4 linked regions of the Anolis sagrei genome follow. The protein of the gene in region 3 interacts with the protein of the main gene of each other region in a biochemical or structural test. Links are inferred from orthologs where the notes say so. Each region holds a gene or a part of one and is shown on either strand. Other genes may lie near its edges.

Evidence for each region.
Region 1: the proteins of PATJ (region 3) and TJP3 form a complex in vitro, tested with the Homo sapiens proteins (2 studies listed by BioGRID and IntAct, with this or other methods). The link is inferred for Anolis sagrei from reciprocal best matches to the Homo sapiens genes PATJ and TJP3.
Region 2: the proteins of PATJ (region 3) and CLDN1 form a complex in vitro, tested with the Homo sapiens proteins (2 studies listed by BioGRID and IntAct, with this or other methods). The link is inferred for Anolis sagrei from reciprocal best matches to the Homo sapiens genes PATJ and CLDN1.
Region 4: the proteins of PATJ (region 3) and TANC1 interact in a test that uses a peptide from one of them, tested with the Homo sapiens proteins (2 studies listed by IntAct, with this or other methods). The link is inferred for Anolis sagrei from reciprocal best matches to the Homo sapiens genes PATJ and TANC1.

The regions. Positions count from the first base shown.
Region 1 is NC_090034.1:53,429,366-53,437,700, reverse strand, and holds the start of TJP3 (tight junction protein ZO-3), read left to right. Parts: upstream 1-5,144; 5' UTR 5,145-5,238; coding exon 5,239-5,256; intron 5,257-8,335. UniProt on the Homo sapiens protein: TJP1, TJP2, and TJP3 are closely related scaffolding proteins that link tight junction (TJ) transmembrane proteins such as claudins, junctional adhesion molecules, and occludin to the actin cytoskeleton.
Region 2 is NC_090023.1:271,014,920-271,022,603, forward strand, and holds the start of CLDN1 (claudin-1), read right to left. Parts: upstream 3,581-7,684; 5' UTR 3,367-3,580; coding exon 3,144-3,366; intron 1-3,143.
Region 3 is NC_090024.1:167,747,569-167,755,332, forward strand, and holds the start of PATJ (inaD-like protein), read right to left. Parts: upstream 3,625-7,764; 5' UTR 3,306-3,624; intron 1-3,305.
Region 4 is NC_090021.1:201,130,432-201,139,011, reverse strand, and holds the start of TANC1 (protein TANC1), read left to right. Parts: upstream 1-4,904; 5' UTR 4,905-4,948; coding exon 4,949-5,069; intron 5,070-8,580. UniProt on the Homo sapiens protein: May be a scaffold component in the postsynaptic density.

The sequences.
Region 1 (8,335 bases), on a different chromosome or scaffold from region 3:
AAAGGAGGATAAGACATTGATTATTATTATTATTATTATTATTATTATTATTATTATTTTACTGACACAAAACCACAGTATGTCACAGCAAAGGAGATATATATGCTGCATTTCGTATCACAAAATCACAAGCCGAACACTTCCCAAGCGTCTAGGACTGTGTGACGTATTTTCAAATGATGTGCCAGATCCAAGTAAGGTGGCCTTCTGCAGTTGACAGATCGTGATTTTTTCGATGTTTATTGTTTCCACATTATTATTATTATTGCCACTAAGTCAATTTGAACATAGGGCAACTCTATGAATGAAACCGCCAACCATTATTTATTTATTATTGCTACTTAGTAAAATTGAACTTAGGGCAACCCTAGGAATGAAACTTCCAACTGTTTATTATTATTATTATTATTGACACAAAAGCACAGTATGTCACAGCAAACGAGATCTATATGCTGGATTTCCTATCACAAAATCACAAGTCGAACACTTCCCAAGCGTCTAGGACTTGTGTGATGTATTTTCGAATGATGCGCACAGATCCAAGTAACGTGGCCTTTTGCAGTTGACAGATCGTAATTTTGTCAGTATTTATTGTTTCCAAATGCTGGCTGAGATCTTTTGGCACGGCACCCAGTGTGCCCATGACCACTGGGACCACCAGTGCTGGTTTATGCCAGAGCCTTTGCAGTTCGATTTTGAGGTCTGAGTTTTTCCTGTTGTTTTTCCTCAATGTGACTGTCACCCGATATGGCGACATCAATAATCCAGACTTTTTTCTTTTCCACAATCGTGATGTCTGGTGTATTGTGTTCCAAAACTTTGTCAGTCTGGATTTGAAAGTCCCACAGTATTTTTGCATGTTCATTTTCCACGACCTTTGTGGGTTTATGATCCCACCAATTCTTTGCTGCTGGCAGGTGGTACTTGTGACATAAGTTTCAGTGAATCATCTGGGCCACAGAGTCATGTCTTTGTTTGTAGTCCGTCTGTGCCATTTTCTTGCAACAGCTGAGGATATGATCCAAGGTTTCATCAGCTTCCTTGCACAGTCTGCATTTTGGGTCATCTGCTGATTTTTCAATCCTGGCCTTAATTGCATTGGTTCTGATGGCTTGCTCCTGGGCTGCAAGAATCAGGCCTTCTGTCTCCTTCTTCGGGGTCCCATTCATGATCCATAACCAGGTCTTCTCCTTGTCAACTTTTCCTTCAATCTTCTCAAGGAACTGCCCATGTAAGGCTTTGTTGTGCCAGCTGTCAGCTCTAGTTTGGAGTGCAGTTTTCTTGTACTGACTCTTTGTCTGCTGTGCTTTGAGAAGTTTCCGATTATTGACTTCAATTAAAGCAGGTTCTTGGCTTTCCTTGACATATTCTGCCAGGGTGTATTTTTCTTCTTCGACTGCTTGTTTGACTTGTAAAAGCCCTCTTCTACCAGACTTTCTAGGCAGCTAAAGCCGGTCAACATCACTGCGAGGATGTAATGAATTATGAATGGTCATGAGTTTTCTAGTTTTTCTGTCCAAATTGTCCAGTTCTGCCTGCGTCCAGTTTACGATGCCAGCAGTATATCTTATGACAGGTATGGCCCAAGTGTTTATGGCCTTGATGGTGTTGCCTCCATTGAGCTTGCTTTTGAGAATTTTTCTGACCCTTTGAATGTATTCTTGGCTGACCACAGTTTTCACATGTTCATGTTTGATGTTGTCCAGCTGTAGTATGCCGAGATATTTATAGGCCTCTGGCTGGTGACACTTGATCGCTTGGCCATTGGGCATATTTATGTCCTCACTTTCAATGATTTTTCCCTTCTTCAGTGCCACTGCCGAACATTTGTCCAAACCAAACTCCATGTTGATATCCGTGCTAAAGATTCGGACGGTGTTAGTCAGAGACTGGATTTCAGTTTCAGTTTTCCCATACAGCTTCAGGTCATCCATGTACAGCAGATATGATATTATTATTATTATTATTATTATTATTATTATTATTTGCCACTAAGTCAACTTGAACTTAGGGCAACCCTATGCATGAAACCTCCAACCATTATTTATTTAAGCCCCCTGGTGGCACAGTGGGTTAAACCATTGAGCTGCTGAACTTGCTGACCAAAAGGTTGGCGGTTTGAATCCGGGGAGCGGAGTGAGTCCAGCATCTGCCAACCTACAAGTTCGAAAACATGCAAATGCGAGTAGATCAATACGTACCACTTCTGCGGGAAGGTGATGGCACTCCATGCAGTCATGCTGGCCACATGACCCCCCAGAGTCAGACATGACTATACTTAATGTCAGGGAAAACCTTTACCTTTACCTATTATTACATTATATTTATCATAATCATCATCATCATCATCATTTTTTTTCTTCTTCTTCTTCTTCTTATTATTATTGCCAATAACTTTAACTTAGGGCAACCCTACAGATGAAACCTCCAACCATTATTCATCATTATTATTACATTATTATTATTATTATTATTATTATTATTATTATTGCTGTTAAGTCAACTTGAACTTAGGGAAACCCTATGAATGAAATCTCCAATCATTATTAAATTATTATTATTATTATTATTATTATTATTAAATTTATGGTATTATTATTATTATTATTATTATTATTATTTAATTTATGGTATTATTATTATTATTATTATTATTATTTAATTGCCACCAAAGTCAACCTGAACATAGGCAAACCCTATGAATGAAATCTCCAATCATTATTCATTATTTTTATTACATTATTATTGTTATTATTATTGCTGCTAAGTCAACTTGAACTTAGGGAAACCCTATGAATGAAAACTCCAACCATTACTAAATTATTATTATTAAATGTATGGTATTATTATTATTATTACTATTATTATTCTTATTCTTATTTAATTGCCACCAAGTCAACTTGAACTTAGGGAAACCTTATGAATGAAACTTCCAACCATATTATTATTATTATTATTTGCCACTAAGTCAACTTGAATTTAAGGCAACCCTATGAATGAAACCTCCAACAACAACAACAATAATAAAAAAATAAAAAAATAAATTATTCCTGGCAAGCAGTAAATGGAAATGTAAGCTGGAAAATTCAGGAGGTGACTTTGAAATTCACAAGGAAAGGTGGGTAATAATAATAATAATAATAATAATAATAATAATAATAATAATAAGTATAGTATTAGTAAGTATGAGTAAGGAGCCCCCGGTGGTGCAGTGGGTTAAACCCTTGTGCCGGCAGGACTGAAGACCGACAGGTCACAGGTTCGAATCCGGAGAGAGCGCAGATGAGCTCCCTCTATCAGCTCCAGCTCCTCCTGCAGGGACATGAGAGAAGTCTCCCACAAGGATGGCAATACATCAAAACATCCGGGTGTCTCTTGGGCAACGTCCTTGCAGACAGCCAATTCTCTCACACCAGAAGCGACTTGCAGTTTCTCAAGTCGCTCCTGACACGACAAAACAAAAGTAAATATAGTATATTATAAAATAATCATAGAAAATAAATAAATAATATATAATAATCGTTTTTCATTCATTTGATTCTTCTTTATATATTCATTCTTCTTGTTGTCTTCTGGTGGGACCTGGACAATCTTCTTTCAAGTATTTGACCAGGTTTTCAGCAGAAGGGACCTGTGTGTTTGAAATGGGTTACAATGAGAAACAACAACAACAATATAATATAACATAATATAACATAACAGCCAAGACCTCCCAACAAAGGATCCTCCAGGCAGGAAGCAGCCAGACTTTGAAGCTACAAGGCCCTTCATAGAATCATAGAATCAAAGAGTTGGAAGAGACCTCATGGGCCATCCAGTCCAACCCCTGCCAAGAAGCAGGAATATTGCATTCAAATCACCCCTGACAGATGGCCATCCAGCCTCTGTTTGAAAGCTTCCAAAGAAGGAGCCTCCACCACACTCCGGGGCAGAGAGTTCCACTGCTGAACGGCTCTCACAGTCAGGAAGTTCTTCCTCATGTTCAGATGGAATCTCCTCTCTTGTAGTTTGAAGCCATTGTTCCTTGTCCTAATCTCCATGGAAGCAGTAAACAAGCTTGCTCCCTCCTCCCTGTGACTTCCTCTCACATACTTATACATGGCTATCATGTCTCCTCTCGTCCTTCAGGCTAAACATGCCCAGCTCCTTAAGCCGCTCCTCATAGGGCTTGTTCTCCAGACCCTTGATCATTTTAGTCGCCCACCTCTGGACACATTCCAGCTTATCAATATCTCTCTTCAATTGTGGTGCCCAGAATTGGACACAATATTCCAGGTGTGGTCTAACCAAAGCAGAATAGAGGGGTAGCATTACTTCCTTAGATCTAGACACTATGCTCCTATTGATGCAGGCCAAAATCCCATTGGCTTTTTTTGCCGCCACATCACATTGTTGGCTCATGTTTAACTTGTTGTCCACGAGGACTCCAAGATCTTTTTCACACGTACTGCTCTCGAGCCAGGCATCGTCCCCCATTCTGTATCTTTGCATTTCGTTTTTTTCTGCCTAAGTGGAGTATCTTGCAAGAGATGTAGTTTCCCAAAGTACCTTAGTAAGCCAGACTCCCTGGTGCATCAATCCTAGGAGAGTTTCTCCCCGTAGAGATGTTCAATGTATTGTCGAATTTATTTATTTATGTATTTACTTCATTTATTTACCGCTTTTCTCAGTCCTTGGTCGACTTTCTCAGCCCTTGGGCGACTCAAAGCGGTCGAAGGCTTTCATGGCCGGAATCACTGGGTTGCTAATCGAGGTGGCCAATCTCAACATTCACACTTGCCTCAGGCAGACAAGAGTTCTTTCTCCCACCTTGAACATTATTCCACAGGTGTATAAACCCCACTTGCCTAGTTTCCAACAGACCCTTCAACCTCTGAGGATGCCTGCCACAGATGTGGGCAAAAGGTCAGGAGCAAATACTTCTGGAACATGGCCAGACAGCCCGAAAACACTCACAGCAAGCCAGTGATTCAGGCTGTGAAAGCCTTTGACAACACATTCTCTGCCTGGCTTGCGTAGCTCCCTCCCTCCTTCCTTCTTTCTCCTGTTTGTTGTTTGCCAAACCGGAGCCTGCTGGCCTCACCTGGCCCAGGTGTGCCAGGCCCTGCCCGAGGGGGCGAGGCCAAGGGAGGGCCCAGGAGGAGGAGGGGCCAAAGGGCAGCCCTGGGCCTTTCCTGGGCAGGTAAGCCTTGGCGGTGGGCGATGGGACCTCCTTGAAGGAGGGCCTCTGAGCAGAACATGGCCGTGAGGTTTCAGGTGAGACCTGCCCTCCCTTCCTTCCTACATTCCCTCCCTCTCGCCCTCCTTTTCTTCTTTCCCTCTTCTTCTTGTCTTCTTCTCTTTCCAATTGTTCCTTTGGCCGCTGTCCTCATTCTTCCTTGTCTTCTGGTTCTTACCTTTTTTCTCTCCTTCTTTCCATCTTCCTTCCTCTCTTTCCAATTGCATATATTCTCCCCTTCCTTCCTTCCCTCCTTCTTCCTTGCATTCCATTCCTCCTTCCTTCCTTCCTTCCTTCCTTCCTTCCTTCCTTCCTTCCTTCCTTCCTTCTTCCTTCTTCCTTCTCTTTATTCCTTAATTCCCATATGCCTGCCCTGCCTCCTTTCCTTTCCCTTTTCTTTTCCGTTCTTCTCTCCTTCCTTCCTTCCTTCCTTCTTTCGTCTCTCTTTCTTTCTTTCTTTCTTTCTTTCTTTCTTTCTTTCTTTCTTTCTTCCCTTTCCTCAACTCAAAGGTCTTTGGACAGAGGACTTTTTCTTCTCCTTTTTTTAAGGCTCTTAAACCCTTCGAATAATCCAATCCTTTCTTTTCTAATCTTTTTTTCTTTCACTGATCTGGCCTTCTTTGGTGTTTTCCGCTCTGCTGGGCCTTGGAAGGGAGGCAAAAAACAGAGAGAGATTGGCATTGGATATGAAGCAAGCCGGTGCCCTTCCTTTGCTTTGTCTTGACAATAAGGGACCCCCAAAGGCCATCTAGTCTGACCCCGTTTGAATCCCATGCAATCCCTCCTAACAGATGTCCAGGGAGAGCACACGTTTCAGCGAGAGGCCCACGTTCCATTCGGGCGGCAAAGAGGGCTTGGCTTGGTTCCATTGGTTCGCCAACTGCCCAGGAATGTGGACCTGTCCCTCCCTTGTTGTGCCTTTCTGGGAGGCACTGTTTACCTTCCCAGGCGGCCTTTTGAGAAAAAAAAATCCCTTTTGAGCCTCAGAAAGACTTCTGACGCTTAGGACTTCTGACGCTTAGATCCACTTTTTCACTTGTTGACATTGAGAGGTCTAGTTGTGAGACCGATCGGGGAATAAAGTGGTTACCTATGCTCCACGGGTTTACATTCCCCGTGAGGACATATCTCTGCAGTCTGGGGGTTCTCCTGAACTCGGCACTGATGCTTGAAGCACAGGTGTTGGCATTGGCTGGGAGGGCCTTGAAAAGCCAGACTTGGCCACGGTGGTCCACCCCTTCGTTACATCCAGAATGGACTACTGAATGGCGCAGCTACTGACAGAGAGGTCATGAGTTCGAAACCAGCCTGGGTCGGAGTGAGCTCCCGACCATTAATAGTCTAGCTTGCTGTTGACCCATGCAGCCCAAAAGACAGTTGCATCTGTCAAGTAGGAAATTTAGGTACCGCTTTATGCCAGGAGGCTAATTTAACTAATTTACGACACCATAAAACCTTCCAGCAGCATGTGTAAGAATGAGGAAGTACTCCATCAAAGATTCGGTGTCACAAGTGGATAGTGAAGCGGCAACTACTCCCTGTGCATACCCTCAAAAGCTGGAATGTTAAATTGCCTCTGTGTCTGTCTATATATATTTTATGTCTAAATGACGTTGAATGTTTGCCATGTATATGTGCATTGTAATCCAGCCTGAGTCCCCTGCGGCGCGAGAAGGGCGGAATATAAATACTGTAAATAAATAAATCCTGCAATGCACTCTACATGGGGCTGCCTTTGAAGATGGCTCGGAAAGGTTGACAGCCAGGCTACTAACCTGGGCTAGTTATAGGGAGCATGCTAGGCTCTTATTAAAGCAGCTCCACTGGCTGCCGACAAGTTTCCAGTCCTCTAAAGCCCTACTCGGTTTAGGTCTTTCCTGTCTTCATGACCACATCTCCCCCTTTGAACTGGCACAGGCTCTAAGATCCATCGGAGAGGCCCTTCTCTCAGTTCCACCTCTGTCTCAAGCACAGTTGGTGGGGACGAGAGAGAGAGAGAGAGGGGGGGGGCTTCTTGGTGGTGGCCCCCCCGGCTCTGGAACGCCCTCCCCAGGGAACTTAGGCTGGCCCCCACACTCCAATGTTTTTGGAAAAACTTGAAAACATGGCTCTTCCAGCAGGCCTTCTCACTACCTCTGAGGATGCTTGCCATAGATGCATAGATGCAGGCGAAACGTCAGGAGAAATGCCTCTAGAACATGACCATATAGCCTGAAAAAACCTACAACAACCCTTCACACATGGTCAAAACATCAGTTAAAACTTGAGGACCAAGCGAATTGTTTGGCTCCAGCACTTTAATGCGACTGAAATTGATACGACCTATTTCAATCCACAGCTATGGCTGTGTTTTTCAGCAAGGATTTTATTTACATTAGTAGGGGTTTTTATTTGCGATTTTTATGTATATCTATTTTATGTTAATTGATATTGCTATTGTTTTATACATGTTCATGTATTTTACTGTACCTTGTGTATTCTGTTGCACTACTACATGCTTTTGTAAACTGACCCAAATCCCTTTGGTGGCAGAATATAAATAAAAGCATTATTATTATTATTATTATTATTATTATTAGATACACAACAAGATTAGTACACAGCAAACAAAATCAGTCTGCTAGCTTTTGAAATGGATCACACGTCGGACACTTCCCAAGTGTCTAGGACTATGTGATGTATCCACAAATAATGTGTGCAAATCCAAGTAGGGTGGCCTTTTGCAGCTGACAGATGGTAATATTGTCAGTGTCGATTGTTTTTAAGTGCAGGCCAAGGTCCCCACTTTGCATGTTGAACCTTGAATGCTTTTGTGAGCCGCCCCCAGTCCCTTCAGGGAGATGGTGGCAGGGTACAAATAAAGTATTATTATTATTATTATTATTATTATTATTATTATTATTGTACACAGCAAACAAGATCACTCGTGGATCACATGTCGGACACTTCCCAAGTGTCTAGGACTGTGTGATGTATCGGTGAATAATGCATGCAGATCCGAGTAGAGTGGCCTTTTGCAGCTGACAGATGGTGATTTTGTCAGCGCCGATTGTTTTTAAGTGCAGGCCAAGGTCTTTAGGCACTGCACCAAGTGTGCCAATCACCACTGGGACCACC
Region 2 (7,684 bases), on a different chromosome or scaffold from region 3:
CTGGACGAATTGACACCAAATTTGGACACAAGACACCTAACAACCCAATGTATGTCCTTCACTCAAAAAACATTGTTTTTGTCATTTGGGAGTTGTAGTTGCTGGGATTTATAGTTCACCTACAATCAAAGAGCATTCTGAACCCCACCAACGATAGAATTGAACCAAACTTGGCACACAGTTCTCCCATGACCAACAGAAAATACTGGGTTTGGTGGGCAGTGTCCTTTGGTTTTGGAGTTGTAGTTCACCTCCATCCAGAGATCACTGTGGACTCAAACAATGATGGATCTGGACCAAACTCTACACGAATACTCAATATGCCCAAATGTGAACACTGGTGGAGTTTGGGGAAAATAGAATCTTGACATTTGGGAGTTGTAGTTGCTGGGATTTATAGTTCACCTACAATCAGAGCATTCTGAACCCCACCAACAATAGAATTGGGTCAAACCTCCCACACAGAACCCCCATGTGGGCCACAGCAACGCATGGCAGGGGACAGCTAGTGGACAATATTTGTAATTGTTTTGCACACAAAGCAAAGTTTCTGTATCACTGGAAAGCAAAGGGACCACTCCCTCAGCCTTGTTCTCCAAAATCTTGATCATTTTAGTCCAGAGGAGGGTGACTAAAATGATCAAGATTCTGGAGAACAAGCCCTATGAGGAGCGGCTTAAAGAGCTGGGCATGTTTAGCCAGGAAGAAGAGAAGGCTGAAAGGAGATATGATAGCCATGTATAAATATGTGAGAGGAAATCACAGGGAGGAGGGAGCAAGCTTGTTTTCTGCTTCCTTAGAGACTAGGACACAATGGAACAATGGCTTCAAACTATAAGAGAGGAGATTCCATCTGAACATGAGGAAGAACTTCCTGACTGTGAGAGCTGTTCAGCAGTGGAACTCTCTGCCCCGGAGTGTGGTGGAGGCTCCTTCTTTGGAAGCTTTTAAACAGAGGCTGGATGGCCATCTGTCTGGGGTGATTTGAATGCAATATTCCTGCTTCTTGGCAGAATGGGGTTGGACTGGATGGCCCATGAGGTCTCTTCCAACTCTTTGATTCTATGATCTCATGAGGGACGAAGACACAAATACAAGAATTCCAAAAATTTTAATACCAAACAACTCTGGTTCTAAACATTTCGGATAAGGAATACTCAAACTGTCTTTTTTAAACATACATGGATGCTGTGTTTACCTTTGGATCCCATGTCCAAGATTCCTCAATATGTGAGCATACCCAGAAACAGGTATTCCAGATCCTAAACATTTTGGTTCTAACCCTTTTGGATAAGGAATACTCCACCCATATAAGGAGGAGGGGGGAATCTAAAACCCCAAACACAAGTGATCCCAACCATTTTGGATAAGGAATATTCTGCCTTTCCATGACTTTTGTATGTTTCATAGATAGTTTAAACCTGAATCTAATCTCAAAGATACAGATAGGCAAATACAGGTATTGGAAAATATGAAATATCCCAAAACTCTTCTGTTCACCAGGATTTCAGATAAGGAATACTCCACCCATAATAAGGTGTCCATTAAATATACATGAATTTTGTGTTTAGACAAATACATATTTCAAAAAAACCCAAATTCCAAGATACCAAGATGACTGATCCCAACTGTTTTTGACGAAGAACACTCATATGTCTATGAAACATATCAAGTTTCGACTTGGGTTCAAACTCCAAGATATCTCATGAGGTTCGTAGCCAACATCTGAATTCCATTGTTGATGAAACATCACTGAATTTCATGTTTAGGTTTGAATCCCATCTCCATATATCTCATTGTTTACATATGTCCAAAACAAAGCATTCCAAAACACTTCTAGTCCCAAGCATTTGGAAAAGGGAGAGTTGACCTGTACGAGTGTGTAGTGTCTATGACACCTAAATGAATTTTGTGTTTAGATTGGTGTCCCATCTCCAAGACATCTCATGATGTCCGTAATTGCAGATACAAGTATCTGAAAATATGAAAACCCCTGGAATCTCAACCATAGGAGTCAATGACACAGAAGCATTTGGGATAAGGAATTATTGACCTGTGGAAGGTGTCTATGAAACTGACACAAATGTTACATTTAGACTTGGAGCCCACACCCAAGTTCTCTCGTGATGTACATATATATTTGAATATGGGGTAAACACCAACTCCCAAACACTTCTGGTCCTGACCAGACTTGACCCATACATACTGTCCTATGGTCTTGACCCATATATAGTGTCCTATGCAATGTCACTCAATGTTGTGTTAGATTTGGTTCTCATCTCGATGACATCTTATGATATAGGTCTACTCAAGACATGGGCAACCTTGGGCCTTCAAGGTGTTTTGGACTTCAACTCACACAAATCCTAACACCCTACTAACTACCAAGTTGAAGTCCAAAACACTGGAGGGTCGAAGTTTGCCCATGTCTGGGATAGACCTATAGCATGAGATGTCATTGAGATGGCACCCAAATCTAACACAGCATTCAGTGACATTTCATAGGACACTATATATGGGTCAAGATCATCGGACACTATGTATGGGTCAAGTCCGGTTAGGACCAGAAGATGTGCTTTGGATTTGGATTTATTGGTATTTTAAGATCGGGATAGACCCGGCATGGGCAAACTTCGACCCTCCAGATGTTTTGGACTTCAACTCACACAATTCCTAACAGCATACCAACTACCAAGTTGAAGTCCAAAACACCTGGAGGGTCGAAGTTTGCCCATGTCTGGGATAGACCTATAGCATGAGGTGTCATTGAGATGGCACCCAAATCTAAGACAGCATTCAATGACATTTCATAGGACACTATATATGGGTCAAGTCCGGTTAGGACCAGAAGATGTGCTTTGGATTTGGATATATTGATATTTTAAGATCAGGATAGACCCACCATGGGCAAACTTCAACCCTCCAGGTGTTTTGGACTTCAACTCACACAATTCCTAACACCCTACCAACTACCAAGTTGAAGTCCAAAACACCTGGAGGGTCAAAGTTTGCCCATGCTAGGTCTATCCCGATCTTAAAATACCAATAAATCCAAATCCAAAGCACATCTGCTCCTGTGCATTTCAGATGAGAGAGACCCAACCTGCCATCATCACCATCTTGACCCTGTTTTGGGGCCCTACCTGGCAGCTTGAGGAGGGAGTCGAAGACCTTGCACTGCATCTGCCCGGTGCTCTGCATCACACAGTTCATCCAGAGCCCCTCGTAGATGGCTTGGGCCGTGATGAGGTTGTCTCCGGCGTAGGAGTTGATCTTCCACTGAGGCATGGCAGTGCTGACGATGGTGCCGATCCAGCCGATGAAGGCCAGGAGGAAGCCCAGCATCTGCAGACCACCACTGGCCATTGCGTCTCCACTGGAACAGCAACAATGAGGCAAAGGAGCACCTGAAAAGGATGGATGGATGGAGGAAGGAAGGGCGCTTGGTCCTTGGAGAGATGAAGCCAAGGAGGGATCCTTCTCTGCTCTTCTCTGCTCTCCTTTTTGTAATCCGAGGGATTTCAGAGCAGGTTGATGCTGCTGGACTTGGAGCCGACTTGGAGAACTGGCTTTCGGGGCAGCTCGGCAGCTCTATTTAAACCAGCGCCTCTCCAGCTCCGCCTGGTGGTTTCGTTCGACTTTGCCGTCCATCCAGTGCTTTGCTTTCCCAAATGAAAAATTGCAACCACAAAACAAAAAAAGTTACAATGCTTTGACGGTTCTTTTGCAACCCATACTTCAAGGTTTAGTTCTGGGGAAAGGTGGGGAAAGATACTTGCTTCGACTGGTGGAAAAGGTGTGGGGTTAAGGCAATATCAGTCACCCCAAGTTGCGTTCCTTCCTGGGCCAAAGTGCACCCCCGATGTGTTCTCTCGCTTCATGACACATCTCCCTTGCAGGATCCACCCTGTTCTTTGGAAGCGTCGGGACACTTCCAGAACAGGAAAGGAGAGGCGTCAAAGGGATTTCCAGATACTTTCTTGCTAGACGTCGTGTGTGATTACATAGAACCCCTCGACTTGAAAGGGAACCCAGAGGTCATCCGGTCCAACCTCGTACTACTGTGTGGGAAGAAATAATTCAAGCACAACTCTTTGTTAACAAAACTTCCATAGAAGGAGGTTCTACCATACTTCAAAGTGACACATCCTACTGTCAGAAAGCTGTTACCATCAGGAATGTCTTCCTAAAACATAGGTGGGATCTCTTTCCCTGCAATTTGCATCCATGGCTCCATTGTGTCCCAGCCTCTGGAGCAACAGGAAGCACGCTTTTCCCTTTCTCCTCAATGTATCATCCTTTCCAATAAATCAACTCAAGCATCATGTTCCCTCTTATCGTTCTCTCCTCCAAGCTAAACATCCCGAGCTCCCTCAGCTGCTCCTCAGAGGGATTCACACATGCAAAAGTCAATCTATTGCTCTTTCTTATTTCAGGTCTCTTCTACGCTGCCATGTTGTTGTTGTTCATTCGTTCAGTCGTCTCAGACTCTTCGTGACCTCATGGACCAGCCCACGCCAGAGCTCCCTGTCGGCCGTCACCACCCCCAGCTCCTTCAAGGTCAGTCCAGTCACTTCAAGGATGCCATCCATCCATCTTGCCTTGGTCGGCCCCTCTTCCTTTTGCCTTCCACTTTCCCCAGCATCATTCCCTTCTCTAGGCTTTGCTGTCTCCTCATGATGTGGCCAAAGGACTTCCACTTTGTCTCTAGTATCCTTCCCTCCAGTGAGAAGTCAGGCATTATTTCCTGGAGGATGGACTGGTTGGATCTTCTTGCAGTCCAAGGCACGCTCAGAACTTTCCTCCAACACCACAGCTCAAAAGCATCTCTCTTCCTTGGCTCAGCCTTCCCTAAGGTCCAGCTCTCACATCCGTAGGTGACTACAGGGAAGACCATGGCTTTGACTAGGCAATGGATCTTGGTTGCCAGTCTGATGTCTCTGCTCTTTACTATTATATCGAGACTGGACATTGCTCTCCTCCCGAGTAGGAAGCGTCTTCTGATTTCCTGGCCACAGTAATCTGCATCTGCAGTCATCTTTGCACCTAGAAATACAAAGTCTGTCACGGCCTCCACATTTTATCCCTCTATTCACAGTACTCTCAGTCATTACACTGAGATTTCATGGGAGTTATAGTTTTACACAGTCTCTGAGGTTTCTCCACCAAATAGTGTTGTTGCCTCACCAAACTATAACACTCAGGACTCAATAGCATTGGAAAATGGCAGTTAACATGGGTCAAACTGAATTCATTCTGCACCCTAAGACAGAGTAATAGATTCCGACTCCTGGAAAAGAAACTCTACCAAAACATTGAGAAAACTTTCCTGAGTGAAAGAGGGGTTTGAAAGGGGAACGGCCTTCCTCAACATGTGGTGGACCCTCGCTCTTTGGAGGTCTTTAAGCAGAGAATGGAAAACCTGCTTTTAGGGGTGCATCTATACTGTCGAATTAATGCAGTTTGACCCCATTTTAACTGTCATGGCTCACTGCTATAGAATCCTGGGAGTTGTAGTTTGGTGAGGCAACAAAACCCTATACGGTTCCGACCCAGTGTATCTGTCTAAACGGATCTCCCTCTACATCCCACCTCGAAGTCTAAGATCTTCTGGGGAGGCCCTGCTCTCGACCCCGCCTCTATCACAAGTGAGATTGGCAGGGACGAGGAGCAGGGCTTTCTCGGTGGTGGCCCCTCACCTGTGGAATTCACTCCCCGGGGAAATCAGAACAGGGACATCCCTCCTTTCCTTCAGGAAAAAACTGAAAACATGGATTTGGGACCAGGCATTCGGACAATCGGGCAGATAAAGGAGGATTTCGACAATGGACAGGAATTGAGAAAGTGGAATGGAATTATGGAACTCTGAAAGACGAACGCTGAGCTTGAGATTAGTTTTTTATTGATTGTGTTTTATTTTTATTGATTGTGTTATATACTGACCAATTTAACTGTGATAATTGTTTGATTGCTGTATGTATTCTATGTAGGCATCGAATTGTGCCTTTTTGTAAGCCGCCCTGAGTCCCCCCTCGGGGGTTGAGAAGGGCGGGGTAAAAGTACCTGAAATAAATAATAATAAAAATAAATAATAATAATAACACTATTTGGTGGAGAAGCCTTTTTTTTGCCAGGCGAAAAGGCACAACACTCATTGGCAGAGAAGGCTAAAGACCTTATAAAACTATAGCTCTTATGATGCCAAGGCCATGAGCATGGTAGTTAAAGTAGTGTCAACATGCATTAATTCCACATGTAGATGCACACTAGGAGGAATATTGTGTCCAATTCTGGGCACCACAATTCAAGAGAGATATTGACAAGCTGGAATGTGTCCAGAGGAGGGAGACTAAAATGATCAAGGGTCTGGAGAACAAGCCCTATGAGGAGCGGCTTAGGGAACTGGGCATGTTTAGCCTGAAGAAGAGAAGGCTGAGAGGAGATATGATAGCCATGTATAAATATGTGAGAGGAAGCCACAGGGAGGAGGAGGGAGCAAGCTTGTTTTCTGCTTCCTTGGAGACTAGGACAAGGAACAATGGCTTCAAACTACAAGAGAGGAGATTCCATCTGAACATTAGGAAGAACTTCCTGACTGTGAGAGCCGTTCAGCAGTGGAACTCTCTGCCCCGGAGTGTGGTGGAGGCTCCTTCTTTGGAAGCTTTTAAGCAGAGGCTGGATGGCCATTTGTCAGGGGTGATTTGAATGCAATATTCCTGCTTCTTGGCAGAATGGGGTTGGACTGGATGGCCCAGGAGGTCTCTTCCAACTCTTTGATTCTATGATTCTATGATTCTAGGGGATGTAGTTGTGCATTTTAGCCTGGCAGAAAAGGTTTGGGCTGGATGGCCTTCGGGGGTCCCTTTCAACTCCAAGATTGTGTGATTCTATAACCTGGAGATTTGGGGAAAAAATGCAGAAGACGAATGCCAGGACCATCCCTGTTTGAGGCCAGAGGAGGGGAGAGTCAACACACGAGAGACGTTCTATTTATGGAGCCACTTTTGTTTGTTGTTTCGGATAGAAGGGAGCGATGATGTTTCCCTGCTTCTGGATCCCTTTGTGGTGGAGCCAGGCCTGGTGGGTAATCCTCATCCCTTGAGCCGGCGTGTTTTGCAAACCCCTCCGAGAGGCCAGCCAAAATCCCTCAAGTCATCAAGATGAAGCAACGTCCGGACCAAAACAACCTCCTCCTCCCTTTTGAGTTGTTTTCGCTCTTTGTGGCTGGATGGTCTTGGAGCTGAAGAACAATTATGGAAAGTGCTGTCTGAGAATTGCTTGGCGGAGGATTATACCGAGAGATAAAAACACCGCAAGGGTCTGGTGTGTTGGTGAAGAACAAACAAGGTGTTTTTCACTAGGTTCTTGTGGGTTTTTTCGGGCTATAGGGCCATGTTCTAGAGGCATTTCTCCTGACGTTTCGCCTGCATCTATGGCAAGCATCTTCAGAGGTAGTGAGGTCTGTTGGAATTAGGACAATGGGTTTATATATCTCTGGAATGGCTGGGATGGGGCAAGAAGCTGGAGCTAGATGTGAATGTTTCAACTGATCACCTTCATTAGCATTTGAAGGCCTGGCTGAGCCTGGGAAAATCCCCTGTTGAGAGGTGTTAAAATGTGCCTGGTTGTTTTTTCCCTCATCCGCAAAGGGTTTCTGCATTTTAGGAAATAGGTGCATCTACAG
Region 3 (7,764 bases):
CGCCACCGGGGGCTCCTTCCTTCTCACTTATGGTAACCCTAAAACAAGTCTATCACAGGGGGGTCTTCTACACAGCCCTATATCTCAGAATATCAAGGCAGAAAATCCCACATTATCTGAGTGTGGACTCAGATAACCCAGTTCAATGCAAATATCGCCGGATTTTCTGCCTTGATATTCTGAGATATAGGGCTATGTGGAAGGGACCAGGATTTCTTGCCAAAATTAGTTCAAAAAAAAGGCTGAGGCAAAGAGAGCACGACTTTCTGAAGGGCAGGCAGGGGGCTTCTATGGTTGAGCAGAGACTCAGACCCTGGTCTGTTATATCATGCTGGCCCTCAACAAAGTGGGGGCTTGGGGGGGGGGCTTGAGGGGCTTCAGCACCCCCCCCCCGAAATTCTCATGGTAGCCCGCGAGAAGGCCTTACTGGTACATTATTTAAATTGTTATGTTTATTCATACCATGATCTGATCACCATGCTCAATATATCCCATATGCATGGGGCTATTGGGGTAACGATACAAAAAGTTTGCTAGAGTAGACCCTCTTTCACTCAGACTCACCCCTCCCCCCCCCCCCCGTCCGAATCAAACTCAGCCCCCACCGAATCAAAATCTTGGCTACGGGCCTGACATGAACAATATAGAATGTCTCATTCACAGATCTATATTGCAGAGTCCTCTCTTAAATGCATGTTTGTGGCTGATTCTACCAATATTGAAGAACCTGAAATGCTAATCATGTAGCAGTAGAGTTTGATAGGTATTGCATGTTATCTGAAATCCCTGAAAACACCCGGCACTTCCTCTGCCTCCCTCTACCTAGGGTCCTTCTGCACAGCCATATAACCCAAGGCCCTTCAACACAGCCCTATATCCCAGAATATCAAGGCAGGAAATCCCACATTATCTGAGTGTGGACTCAGATAACCCAGTTCAACACAGATATTGTGGGATTTTCTGCCTTGATATTCTGGGATATAGGGCTATGAGGAAGGACCTCCAGACTATCAAGGCAGAAAATCCCACAATATCTGCTTTGAACTGGGTTATCTGAGTCCACACTGCTATATATTCCAATTCAATGCAGAAAATTTGGGATTTTATTCAGCTGTGGGGAAGGGGCCCAGAGCACTGTGGGTCTTGACCCAAGTAGGGTCCCCTTAGATCAATGCTGGGGTCACAAAACATTTGGCTACAGTGAAAGGTTTCTGAAGGCTACCCATTAACCCAAATCTGTCAACAACAAAGGCGCAATGTTACAGTGGAGTCTTCAGCTGTATTCCACAAAAAGAAACTCTGCCTGGCAAATGTTGGTTTAATATATTGTCAAAGGCTTCCATGGCTGGAATCACTGGGTTGTTGTAGGTTTTTCAGGCTGTATGGCCATGTTCTACTTTATTTATTTATTTATTTATTTATTTACAACATTTATATGCCGCCCTTCTCACCCCAAAGGGGACTCAGAGCAGCTTACAATATATTATATTTTTAGCATCAGTATTATATATTACTATATTGTACTATACCATGATATTGTAATATTACATGCAATATAAAATATATAATTATAATGTATTATTAGTAGTAGAATTCATAGTATTATATTGTATTACATTATATACGGCTCTCCATACAGTCATGTCGGCCACATGACCTTGCAGGTGTCTACGGATAACGCCGGCTCTTCGGCTTAGAAATGGAGATGAGCACCACACCCGAGTCAGAATCAACTGGACTTAATGTCAGGGGAAAACCTTTACCTTTACTACAATATATTATATTATTGGAAGCATTCTCTCCTGACGTTTCGCCTGCATCTTTGGCAATGGTTCTCACCCTTCCTAATGCCGCGACCCCTTAAAACAGTTCTTCATGTTGTGGTGACCCCCAATCATAACATTATTTTAGTTGCTACTTCATAATTGTAATTCAGCTACTGTTATGAATTGTAAAGTAAATATCTGATATGTAGGATGTACTGTATTGTCATTCATGGACCAAATTTACCACAAAACTCGATATGCCCAAATTTGAATACTGGTGGGGTTGGACAGGGGCTTATTTTGTCATTTGGGAGTTGTAGTTGCTGGGATTTATAGTTCATGTACAATCAAAGAATATTCTGAACTCCACCAATGATGGAATTGAACCAAACCAGGGACACAGAACTCCCATGACCAACAGAAAATACTGGAAGGGTTTGGTGGACTCTGACCTTGAGTTTGGGAGTTGTAGTTCACTTACATCCACAGAGCACTAGTGGATTCCAACAATGATGGATCTGGACCAAACTTGGCATGAATCCTCAATATGCCCCAATGTAAACACTGGTGGAGTCTGGGGGAAATAGATCTTGACATTTGTGAGTTGTAGTTGCTGGGATTTATAGCTCACCTACCATCAAATCGCATTCTAAACCCCACCAATGATAGAATTGGGCCAAACTTCCCACAAAGAATCCCCATGACCAAGAGAAAAAATACTGTGTTTTCTGACTGTCTTCGGTGACCCCTCTGATATCCCCTCGCGACCCCTCCCCCAGGGGTCCCAACCCCAAGTTTGAGAAACACTGATTTACTGACAATAAATGCTGGTTTATTGTCAGTAAATCATGTTTTTATTATGTGTTTTTAATGTTTTATGCTTCATGTTTAAATGCCCTGCTATCTTATGGTAAATTTGTCCTATTTTATGAATAGTCATATGCTTTTTGGTTTATGTATGCAAGGCATTGAGTGTTGCTATTGTTTTTTGTAAACCCCCCCCCCCCCCAGGGGTGAGAAAAGAGGTAAATAAATACTGTAGATAAATAAATGTTTGATTTTTATACCTATAGACCAGGGGAATACATCCAAATGTATCAGGCAGCAAAGGGTCAGGAGTGGGCCAAGTTCTAAGCAGCAGCTCTGGTCTAAAGTTCCCAGGCGGCGGCTTCACAAACAAGCTGCTCCCTTTGGCCAGATTTGCAAAACCAGCCCTGGCTGAAGCCGTCCAGTTGGTGGCTGGAAAGTTGCAGTCCAAACGAGGATTGCGGTCTGGGTAGTTTTGCTACGCGTGGGAGGATCTCGGGGCTAAAAAAAGCAAAGCCGCAAACTCCGAAGGCCAGCGAGCTTGGACGCCCCTGCCAAGAGTTTGGCAAAGCAAAAGTGGGGCGGCATTCCACGCAACGTAAACGCGCCAGGAAGCAGAGGGAGGGCGTCGTGTCAGTGCCCAAGATCAGCTGGAGAAGGCTGCCTGCCCAGGGTGCCCCTTTTGCCCCCTCCATGGCCCCACTCGAGGGCTCAAGACCCCTTTTTCCTTACCTGATCCCCGGGAAGGGGAGGGAGAGAGCAAGCGAGGGTCTCTTCCTCGTTTGCCTTTGCCTCCTCCCAGGTCTTGGCTGGCTCTCACCTGGGCGGAAGCCGGAGTCTGGAGTTGAGCCGCACCTCACCTGCCACACAGGAAGCCGACGCAAAGGGGAGTCGCTCCGGAGCGAAAGGAAGCCGAGCCCAGGACTCGGGGAAGGGAGCTTTGGGAGGAGAGGCGCTCCCGTGGAAGCCAAGGACTCCTGCGAGGAAAACACTTCCTTGTCGAACAAGGAGAAGCTTAGAAAGACTTGCCAGGCAGCAGCAGGCAGAGGCAGGCAGGACTCTGATTTGTGTGTGTGTGCCTTCAAGTCGGGTGCCCACTTAGAGCCACTCCATTTCTCAGGCTGGGTCTACACGCCCTATGTCCCAGGATCTGATCTCAGAGTATCTGCTTAGAACTGGATTATATAATAATCTGGGATCAGATCTTGGGATATAAGCAGTGTAGATCCAGCCTCAGAGGTGACTTGACCAGTTCTTTCCTCTGAAATACAAGCTACAATGTTCGTTGGTCTCCCATCCAAGGGCTAACCAGGGCTTACCTTCCAAGAGAAGAGGAGATCCAGTGCCCTTGTGGGGGCAAATGGCAACCAGACCAAAATTGAAAGAGAAAATAGAGTGAAAAGGAAGGAAGGGTGAATCCAAAGAGAGAAACCAGAGTCTACATGTGGACAAGTCTACAGGGATCACCAAATGCATTCAGGAATCAAGGAACATGAAAAGCTCTGCGGTCTGGAGAACAAGCCCTATGAGGAGCGGCTTAAGGAGCTGGGCATGATTAGCCTGAAGAAGAGAAGGCTGAGAGGAGATATGATAGCCATCCATGTATAAATATGTGAGAGGAAGCCACAGGGAGGAGGGAGCAAGCTCGTTTTCTTCTGCCATGGAGACTAGGACGCAGAACAATGGCTTCAAACTACAAGAAAGAAGATTCCATCTGAACATGAGGAAGAACTTCCTGACTGTGAGAGCTGTTCAGCAGTGGAACTCTCTGCCCCGGAGTGTGGTGGAGGCTCCTTCTTTGGAAGCTTTTAAACAGAGGCTGGATGGCCATCTGTCAGGGGTGATTTGAATGAAATATTCCTGTTTCTTGGTAGGGGGTTGGACTGGATGGCCCATGAGGTCTCTTCCAACTCTTTGATTCTATTATTCTATTACTACTTCAACCAGAGAAGTCAGCCATAGTAGAGCACCTGATGAACCAACCTGGACACAGCATATTATTTGAGAACATAGAAATGCTGGACCACTCTAACAACCACCATGTCAGGCTACACAGAGAAGCCACTGAAATCCATAAGCATGTGGATAATTTCAACAGAAAGAAGAAACCATGAAAATGAACAAAATCTGCCTGCCAGTATTTAAAAACTCTAAAATTACAACAGCAAAACAACAGAGAGGAAACAATCAGGGACAGCTAATCACCGCTCAACAAAAGATTCCCTCAGGCACTAACAAGCCACACCAAAAAACTGCCAGGCCATCAAATGCTAATCAGGGTGGTCAGTTGAACATTCACACCTAGCTCCAACAGACAAGAGTCCTTTGTCCCACCCTGGTTATTCCACAGATATATAAACCCAATTTTCCTAGTTCCAACAGACCTCACTACCTCTAAGGATGCTTGCCATATATGCAGGCGAAACGTCAGGAGAGAATGCCTCTAGAGCATGGCCATATAACCCGAAAAAACCTACAACAACACAGAGTCGCCTTTTTCCCCAAGAACTGGTCAAGTCACCTCTGAGGCTGGATCTACACTTCTTATATCCCAGGATCTGATCCCAGATTATCATATAATCTAATCCAAAGGAGATACTCTGGAATCAAAACCTGGGCTATAGGGCAGTGTAGATCCAGCCTGAGAAATGAAGTCACTCTAAATGGGCAGCCGACTTGAAGGCACAGTCACAAATCAGAGTCCTCAGGAAGAGAAGCTGGTTGGTTTAGTCGCTTTGTTTGTGAAATCAGCAATGGGCTAAACGAAACTTGAAGATGTTCACAAATTATGAGTCAGTGTGAAATCGTTGGGCATCTATTTTTAAAATTATTTATTATCTATTTGTTTTATTTCAGCCCTGCCTTTCTCCCAACCTAGCATGCAAAGCAGTTATAGCACTATTCCTATGAAGAAGGAAAGGGAAGGGGGGGGGGGGATAAAAGGAATGTGGCAGCATTCCACACAGCTATATAAAATCCACATTGAACTGGATTATATGGCAGTGTAGACTCAGATAATAAAGTTCAAAGCAGATATTGTGGATTAACTGCCTTGAATTCTGGGTTATATGGCTGTATGGAAGGGCCCCGGGGCCCCATCTATACAGCTGTATAAAATCCACACTATCTGCTTTGAACTGAACTATATGGCAGTGTAGACTAAGGGCCCTTCCACACAGCCATATAACCCAGAATATCAAGGCAGAAAATCTCACAATATCTGCTTTGAACTGAGGGCCCTTCCACACAGCCCTATATTCCAGAATATCAAGGCAGGAAACCCCACACTATCTGAGTGTGGACTCAGATAAGCCAGTTCAAAGCAGTAATTGTGAATTTTTTGCCTGGATATTCTGGGATATCTGAGTCCACACTGTGGGATTTTATTCAACTGTGTGGAAGGGGCCTAAAATAATCCAGTTAAAATCAGATAATGTAGATTTTCTGCTTTGATAACTTTGATTATCTGGCACTGTAGAAGGGGCCTGAGGCTGGATCTACACTGCCCTATATCCCAGGATCTGGTCCCAGATTATCTGCTTTGAACTGGATTATATGAGTCTACACTTACAGATAGTCTGGGATAAGAAGATAATCTGGAATCAGATCCTGGAATATAGGGCAGTGTAGATCCAGCCTCCGTCCCCTTGTACACTGCCATGTGATCCAAATTATCAAAGTAGATAATCCACATCATCTGCTTTAAACTGGACTAAATGAGTCTACACTGCCATATAATGAAGTTCAAAGCAAATAATCTGTATTTTATATGGCAGTGTAGAAGAGACCTGGCTGGGTTTTTAATTTTAGGATGAGCTTATGTAAATGTGGCATGGAGGGGGGAGGGTGTGAAGAAACCATCACTAGATCCCACTAAATGTGACAACTTTCGGCCGGTTTCCCATCTCCCCTTTTTGGGCAAAGTCCTGGAAAGCGTGGTGGCCTCACAACTCCAGGTATTCTTGAGAGACACGGATTATCTGGACTCGGCACAGTCTGGTTTCAGACCGGGACATGGAACTGAGACAGTCTTGGTCGCCTTAGTGGATGATCTGCGCCAGGAGCTCGACAGGGGGAGTGTGTCCCTGTTGGTGCTTCTGGACCTCTCAGCGGCCTTCGATACCGTCGACCACGGTATCCTTCTGGGGCGCCTTGCGGAAATGGGTCTCGGAGGCACTGTTCTGCAGTGGCTCCGGTCATTTCTGGAGGGTCGTTCCCAGAAGGTGTTATTGGGGGACACCTGTTCATCCCCACAACCATTGTCTTGTGGGGTTCCTCAGGGTTCTATTTTGTCTCCCATGCTGTTTAACATCTACATGAAGCCGCTGGGTGAGATCATCCGGAGTTTCGGGGTACGGTGTCACCTGTACGCAGATGATGTCTAACTCTGTCACTCCTTTCCACCTGCTACTAAGGAGGCTGTCGAGGTCCTGAACCGGTGCCTGGCTGCTGTGACGGTCTGGATGAGGGCGAACAAATTGAAGTTGAATCCAGACAAGACAGAGGTACTCCTGGTCAGTCGCAAGGCCGAACAGGGTATAGGGTTACAGCCTGTGTTGGATGGGGTCGCACTCCCTCTGAAGACACAGGTTCGCAGCTTGGGTGTGACCCTGGATTCGTCGCTGAGCCTGGAGCCCCAGGTCTCAGCGGTGACCAGGGGAGCATTTGCACAGCTCAGGCTCGTGCGCCAGCTGCGCCCGTACCTTGGGAAGTCTGACTTGGCCACGGTAGTCCACGCTCTTGTCACATCCCGCCTAGACTACTGCAATGCTCTCTACGTGGGGCTGCCCCTGAAGATGGCCTGGAAGCTGCAATTAGTCCAACGCGCGGCAGCCATAATTCTAACAGGAGTGGAGCGCAGGGAGCACACAACCACCCTGTTGCACCAGCTCCACTGGCTGCCGATTTGCTACCGGACCCAATTCAAGGTGTTGGTACTGGCCTATAAAGCCCTAAACAGTTCCGGCCCAAGATACCTATCTGACCGCATCTCGGCCTATGAACCCACCCGGACTTTGAGATCTTGTGGGGAGGCCCTGCTCTCGATCCCGCCAGCCTCTCAAGCACGGTTGGCGGGGACGAGAGATAGGGCCTTCTTGGTGGTGGCTCCTCGGCTGTGGAACGCCCCTCCTGTAGACGTTAGGCTGGCACCATCTCTCATGACATTCCGTAGAAAGTTGAAGACCTGGAT
Region 4 (8,580 bases), on a different chromosome or scaffold from region 3:
CGTCAATGTGTGTGTGTGTGTATATGCCAAATATATCCAAGATTTTGCAATTGTCTATCTTCAGGATTCATCATCATCATCATTTGATGCACAACATGATTAGAAAACAGCAAACAAGATCACTATGTTGGCTTTTGCATTGGATCACACATTGGACACTTCCCAAGTGTCTAGGACTGTGTGATGTATCAGTGAATAATGTTGGAGCATGCAAGAAATCAATTAGTGTGTGTCAACTGTAAAATGAGATGCATGAAGCTGATTGGTTGAGCTTCGTGCAGGGAGATGGCTGGGCCTGGGACTTTTGGTTACTGTTACATTTTTGTTCAGATTTGAGCTATGCAGGTGCTCAGAGAGAAGCACAGAAAAGAGAAGCAGAGAGAGACAGCGTTTGGAGTGTGAACTGCTGAAAGAGTTTATCCACATGGACAAAGAAAGACCATTTTAAATCTCTCATAAAAGGACATTATGTGAGTTGATGTAACTGATCACATTGTACATATTGTTGTGAACTACGAAGAGTAAACTACTTGTTCTTTATTGTTCATCTGCATGGCATATTTTCTTTCTCTGGCAAGACAGTGTGTGGGCTGATCAAATGTGAACTACACGTAGTTTATTTTTATATTACATCACAAATAATGTGTACAGATCCGAGTGGGGTGGCCTTTTGCAGTTGACAGATGGTAATTTTATTTATTTTATTTACAGCATTTATATACTTCTTTTCTCACCCCTAGGGGGACTCAAAGCGGTTTTGTCAGCACCAATTGTTTTTAAGTGCAGACTAAGGTCTTTAGGCACTGCACCCAGTGTGCTCATCACCGAGACCACCAGTTATTTTTATTATTAGTTATACCCCACTTTTTCTCTCCACAGAGGAGACTCAAAGCAGCTCAATTCTATGCATGCTTATTTAGCAGCAAACCTTATTAAACACAGTGGAGTTATTTCTGAGTTAGCATTATAGGAGAGTGTAACTGTAATATAGTGACTTAGATGTTGACCGTTTAGCTATAGAAACCCACTGGCTGACCTTGGGCAAGTCACACTCTCTCAGCCTCAGGGAAAGGTAGAGGCAACCTCTTCTGAACAAGTCTAGCCAAGAAAACCCCATGAAAGGTTAAAGGTAAAGGTTTCCCCTTGACATTAAGTCTAGCCGGATCCAACTCTGGGGAGTGGTGCTCATCTCTATTTCTAAGCCAAAGAGCCGGCATTGTCCGTAGACGTCTCTAGGTCATGTGGCCAGCAGGACTGCATGGAGCACCATTACCTTCGTGCCGGAGTGGTACCTATTTATCTACTCACGTTTGCTTGTTTTAGAACTGTTAGGTTGGGAGCAGCTGGAGCTAACGATAGGAGCTCATTCCGCTCCCCGGATTTGAACTGCTGACCTTTCGGTCGGCAAGTTCAGCAGCTCAGCAGTTTAACCCACTTCACCACTGAAGGTTCCTTTAGGTCCACTTTAGGGCCCTCTTAAACTAGAAACAATCTGAAAGCACACAACAACCACCACCACCATAGGCATCTGTATTAGAGTTGTTCTCAGTATAATAAAACTACTGGAGCAAAAATATGAAACGGGAATTTGAGAAAACTTTTAGATTTTTACTATGACTTTTGCCAGTTTTCTGAAGTTCTCCAATACTTTTGAGGCTACTTGAACTAGGTTTGCTCTAACAATGAGTGATTTCATGAATAAAAAAAAATACAATGAACCTTTACAAACAATGAAATGTACTTCTTCCAAAATGATTAAGTGGTTCTGAGCAAAACATTTAAAAGGCAAACGGTATTTGTCAAACTTTGTTAGCTTGAAAACAAGGGGAAATAGGCTGCAACTTTGGGCCTTGTTTAATGAGCAGGAGTGGGGCGAGTCAAGAAGAGGTGGGAGGTGAAAATGGGGGAGTAGTGGAAACAGATGGCATGAGAGGAGGGAACTTCTACAAATGTTCAGTTTAGATCTTGGGTGAAGAAATGGAAAATAGGGAGAAGGAATGTGCAGAGGGAGATTTCTAATAAATTCAGATCTCTGAAGCCTGTTGCAGAGGATGAGACACACACTTGAATGTTATGTATGTTCAAGGCATTTCTGCTTCTCATTTGGTATCAGCCATGGATTGAGGTTCCGGGTTTTAGCCTGCCACTTTTGGACTCTTGCTTGCTGAGGTGTTCCTGTGAGTATCTCTGTAGATCTTAGAAAACTATTTCTTGTTTTAAGGCATTGGCGTGCCGGCAGATATCTGAACAGCGGGTGGGCCAGATACGTCATTGCCTTGGTCCTTTTATTATTGGCTGCTACTTCCTGGTGGATGTCAGGTGATGCAATACCGGTCAAACAGTATAATTTCTCTATGGGGTGTAGACATCCTGTGATAATGTTCCACACGAAAACAGCCACATCCACTGTTTTAGTGTGGTGAGATGTGTTCCACGCTGGGCGTGCATATTCAGCAGCAGAGTAGCAAAGCCCAAGGGCCGATGTCTTCACTGTATCTGGCTGTGATCGGCAGGTTGTGCCAATCAGCTTTCGTAGGATATTGTTTCTGGCACCCACGTTTTGCTTGATATCCAAGCAGTGCTTCTTGGAGTTATCTGATTGTAGTGTTTATGTTTGTTTATAGTTTATTTTATGTTCCAGTATTGAATATTGGCCCTATATATGTTGTGCTCTGCCCTGAGTGAGAAGGGCAGAATATAAATGCTTTAAATCAGGGGTCCTCAAACTAAGGCCCGGGGTCAGATACGGCCCTCCAAGGTAATTTACTCGGCCCTCGCTCGGGGTCACCCTAAGTCTGAAATGACTTGATAGCACACAACAACAACAATCCTATCTCATCAGCTAAAAGCAGGCCCACACTTCCCATTTAAGTTTATATTTGTTAAAATTGTTCTTCATTTTAATTATGTATTATTTTTAAGTGTCTTTTTAGCACTACAAATAAGATATGTGCAGTGTGCTTAGGAATTCATTCATTCCCCCTCCCCCCCCCCCATTATAATCTGGTCCTCCAACAGTTTGAGGGAGTGACCTGGCCCTCTGCTTAAAAAGTTTGAGGACCCCTGCTTTAAATCAATCATTTTGACATTGACATTAGGCGATCCCTCGATGTCTGATTAAGATTGTCCTCCAAGTTCGGTGTCCTGGCAGTGGGTACGTAGGTGACTTTGGAGCCCTATTCTTGATGCGCATGTTATCTCGCAGTGAGGGCATTGGTTTTCAGGTGAAAGGCAGTCCCAGTTGGGGTTGGCTTGGCACGCCTTCCTCTTGGCACATTTCTCTCTTTCGCCTTCCATTCGTGCCCCTTCAAATTCTACAGCACTGCTGGTCACAGCTGACCTCCAGCTAGAGCACTCAAGGGCCAGGGCTTCCCAGTTCTCAGTGTCTATGCCAGTTTTTAAGGTTGGCTTTGACCCATCTCTTTTCCTGTCCTCCACCCTGAGTGAGCCCTCGGTGATGCAGTGGGTTGATCCCCTGTGCCAGCAGGACTGAAGACTCTCTGGTCACAGGTTCAAATCCAGGGAGAGTGTGGATGAGCTCCCTCTATCAGCTCCAGCTCCCCATGCGGGGACATGAGAGAAGCCTCCCACAAGGATGGTAAAACATCAGAAACATCCAAGCGCACCCCGCGCAACATCCTTGCAGACTGCCAATTCTCTCACACCAGAAGCAACTTGCAGTTTCTCAAGTCGCTCCTGACATGACAAAAACAAACAAACAAACAAACAAACAACACCTGAGTGAGAAGGGCAGGATGTAAATGCTTTAAAACAGGGGTCCTCAAACAAAGACCTGGGGGCTGGATACGGCCCTCCAAGGTTATTTACCCAGCCCTTGCTTAGTGTCAACCTAAGTTTGAAATGACTTGAAATCATTAGATTGGTTTTTAGGGACTGTGATGTATAATGGATTGTTTTAATTGCTGTTTATATATGTTTTATTTTTACCTTGCTGTTGTACTGCCATTGAATTGTGCCTTTTGTAAGCCGCCCTGAGTCCCCCCTCGGGGGTTGAAAAGGGTGGGGTAGAAGTGCGAGAAATAAATAAATAAATAAATAAAGCACATGACGACGACAACAACAACAATCCTATCTCATCAGCCAAAAGCAGGCCCACACTTCCCATTGAAATACTAATAAGTTTATATTTGTTAAAATTGTTCTTCATTTTAATTATGGTATTGTTTTTAAGTGTCTTTTGCACTACAAATAAGATATGTGCAGTGTGCATAGGAATTCATTCATTTATTTATTTTTTACAAATTATAACCTGGCCCTCCAACAGTTTGAGGGACTGTGACCTGGCCCTCTGTTTAAAAAGTTTGAGGACCCCTGCTTTAAATCAATCAATCAATCACCCCCTTGGGTTGCTGTAGTTTTTTTGTGCTGCCTGGCCATGTCCTAGAAGCATTCTCTCCTGACGTTTTGCCTGCATCTAGGGCAGGCATCCTCAGAGGTTGTGAGGTCTGTTGCAAACTAGGAAAATTTATCTATCTGTGGAAATCCCCCCCCCCTCTTGAACTCCAGGTTTGAAGGGAGAAAGAGGAGGAGGGATGGCATGGCCAAGGCTTGTTCTCCCTTCCTCCTCCTCCTCCTGCTTGGCCCTGCAATCCTGCTGAGCCCCCTTTCCTGCTAATTGGTCCCAGATGGTTTGCCTGTTTCCCCCCCCCCCCCTTCTCCCCTGAGCAACAGGAACTTTGGCCGCTGAAGGGAGGGAGAGAGGGAGGAAAGGAGGAGTGAAAAGCCCATAACAAGCGGAAGGGGGTTGCCAGGGTGAGCTGGTGGTGAGCTTGGCTGAAGTTGAGGAGGAGGCTCAGCCCAGACACGGGCGGAGGAGGGGAAAGAGGCGAGACATCCCTCTGCCACACAACCTGGGAGGAAGAGGGAGGGAAGGAAGAGAGAGAAAGGCAGGCAGGCAGGAAGGAAAGAAGGCGGAGACTGGCTCCCAATGAGCTCATCCTCCCCTTCGCCTGCCTTCCTCGCCTGCTCTCAGCGCGCAACGAGGGCGCAAGAGCCAAGGGCGACCCAGTCTCCTGCTTCCTCTTCTCCTTCCTCGCCCAGGCAGGCAGGTAAGTGGCCCACGAGTCGCCTCCCTTCTTCTCCCCCTTCTCCTCCCTTTCCCCAGTCCTTGCTCAAAAGGAAACCAACTGGGAGCCGAAGTTTCTTCCCGGCGAGGGCTTGTCCCTTCTTTCTGCGCGCCCTTCCTTCTCTGGGTTGTTGTAGTTTTTTTTCCGGACTATGGTCTAGAAGCATTCTCTCCTGACGCTTCGCCTACATCTGTGGCAGCCATCCTCAGAGGTCATGGAATCATAGAGTTGGAAGAGACCTCATGGGCCATCCAGTCCAACCCTATTCTGCCAAGCAGGAAAATTGCATTCAAAGCACCCCCGACGGATGGCCATCCAGCCTCCAAAGAAGGCGTCTCCACCACATTCCGCGGCAGAGAGTTCCCCTGCTGAACGGCTCTCCCAGTCAGGAAGTTCTTCCTCATGTTCAGGTGGAATCTCCTTTCTTGTAGTTTGAAGCCATTGTTCTGCATCCTAGTCTCCAGGGAAGCAGAAAACAAGCCTTCTCCCTATAACTTTTCCTCACATATTGATACATGGCTATCATGCCTTCTCTCAGCCCTCTCTTCTTCAGGCTAAACATGCCCAGCTCTTTAAGCTGCTTCTCAAAGGGCTTGTTCTCCATATCCCCTGATCATTTTAGTCGCCCTCCTCTGGACACATTCCAGCTTGTCTCCAGGGCAGGCATGTAGCGGGGGGGGGGGGGGGGCTTGGGGGGCTTCAGCCCCCCCCCCCGAAATTCTCATGGTGGTCCGCGAGAAGGCCTTGCTGTTACATTATTTAAACTGTTATGTTTATTCATATCATGATATGTATGTATGGGGGTATTGGGGTAATGATACAAAAGGTTTGCTAGGGTAGACCCTCTTTCACTCAGACTGCGCCCCCCCCTCCCGAAACAAAATCCTGGCTACGGGCCTGCTCCAGGGCACCAGAAAACAAGCTTGCTCCCTCCTCCCTGTGACTTCCCATCACATATTTATACATGTCTCCTTTCAGCCTTCTCTTCTGCAGGCTAAACATGCCCAACTCTTTAAGCCGCTCCTCATAGGGCTTGTTCTCCAGACCCTTGATCCTTTGAGTTGCCCTCCTCTGGACACATTCCAGCTTGTCAATATCTCTCTTCAATTGTAGTGCCCAGAATTGGACACAGTATTCCAGGGCACACGAAAGTGGTTTGGACACCCTAACTCAAAGCCACAGAGTCACCAGAGTTTGGAGAAGGCTGAGGACCTGACAGGACTACAACTTCCGTGGATCCAGGGCTTTGAGGCATGGCAGTACAAGCGGTGTCAGAATTGCATTCACTCTACATTTCTGCCTGGCTGAAAAGTGGCTTCTGGGGCAAGTGGAGAAGCTGGGACCCAATAACGTTTTGGGAGAAAGGATGTATTAGGAGAATTGTACACACTGTGCATTGACCTGCCCGCGTTCTGAGATCCTGGGAGTTGTTTTGCAAGCCTGCTCTGCCTCCCCAAACCACAGCTCCATGCCATGGAGTCATGGCACTCAAAAGTTGATGCCAAAGCTACACAGAAAAGCCATTGAAATCCACAAGCATGTGGACAATTTCAACAGAAAGGAAGACACCATGAAAATGAACAAAACCTGGCTACCAGCATTAAAAGAATCTAAAATTATAACAGTAAATAAAGAACAACTCTCAAACAAACGGTAACTCTCCACAAGCAACAACTAGACACAGCTAACCACCTCTCAACAAAGGATTCCCCCAGGCAGGAACAAGCGACACCTAAAAACCGCCAGGCCATCAAATGCTAATTAAGGTGGCCAACTGAAACATTCACACCTCGCTCCAACAGACAAGAGTTCTTTCTCCCACTCTGGACTTTCCACAGATATATAAACCCAATTTTCCTAGTTTCCAACAAACCTCACAACCTCTGAGGATGCCTGCTACAGATGCAGGTGAAATGTTAGGAGAGAATGCTTCTAGAACATGGCCATACAGCCTGAAAAACCTACAACAATCCAAAGCTACATTCCTTCTGCAATGTAGATGCGCTTCAAGTCCAGGAGTGCACAGGGTTTGTATGGCACTCAAAGTGAAACTACTGGAGGGGCATCTCTAGAAAGTATACTGCCCTGGCTCCATACTATGGAATCTTGGGAGCTGCAGTTTGGTGAGGCACCAGCACTATTTGGCACCTTGCAAAACTATAACTCCCAAGATTCCATAGCATTTATTTATTTATCGTGACAGAAGCGAACCGAGGGTACAGTTGTAATGTATTTTAAAACATAAACAAAGTTAAGAAACTGGGCATTAGGCTAAATGTTGTTGTCAGTTTTCTGGGCTGTATGGCCATGTTCCAGAAACATTCTCTCCTGACATTTCGCCTGCATCTGTGGCAGGAATCCTCAGAGGTTGTGTGGTTTGAGACATTGAACCCTCAGAAAGGGTTGACTAGTAGCTGGCCACTTGGAGTGTCTCTGGTGTTGCTATAAGAAGGTCCTCCATTGTGCATGTGGCAGGGCTCAGGCTGAATTATAATATGTGGTCTGTGGTTTGCTCTCCTCCACACTTGCATGTTGTGGACTCCACTTTGTGCCCCATTTCTTAAGGTGGTGCCAGAGAGCAGTCTGTTTAGCGCCTTCCAAGTCGCCCAGTCTTCTCTGTGCCCGGGGGGGGGGGGGGGGGAAGAGTCTCTCATTTGGTATCAGCCATGGCTTGAGGTTCCGAATTTTAGCCTGCCACTTTTGGACTCTTGCTTGCTGAGATGTTCCTGTGAGTATCTCTGTAGAAAACTATTTCTTAATTTAAGCATAGCGTTGAACCATGGCAGTTAAAGTTGTGTTAAACTGCATCAATTCTGCACTGCAGATGCACCCTTGGTTTAAGCGACTGGGAACCAGATGTGGCTGAGGTCGTATGCTAAACGCCAGGCTTTTGTACAAAAGGACTAGCAGAAGGAGCAGAGAGCTGTTTCAGAGAACAGTTAAAGCAACGTCAAACTGCATTATTTCTACTCTGTAGATGCACCCTGGGACCATTGTTGCAAGGCCTTGGGGTTAAGGGTATTGGTGCCGAGGTAGCCAAGGGTTGTAAGTGGTGGCCAAAGCCCTGGAACATGAGGCTGGGAAGCAACCTCTTGTCCTGAAGAAGAAGGTCCTTAATATGAGAAGTCAAGTCTGGCTGATCTCTGGGGGAACATTTGATAAGCTGAATTTTTTAATGGGGAGAGGACTCTAATGTGGCAGAGTCACATGTGCCCTTCTGCTGTTAGTGGTGTAGGATGGGTGCTCTCTAGTGCTGGTGGAACTTAGGTTTTACGTGTTCATAAAATGTAAAGATAAAGATTTTCCCCTGACGTTAAGTCTAGTTGTGTCAGACTCTGGGGAATGGTGCTCAACTCCATTTCTAAGTCGAAGAGCTGGCGTTGTCCATAGACACCTCCTAGGTCATGTGGCCAGCATGACTGCACGGAGTGATGTTACCTTCCCGCAAAAGTGGTACCTATTGAACTACTCACATTTGCATGTTTTCAAACTG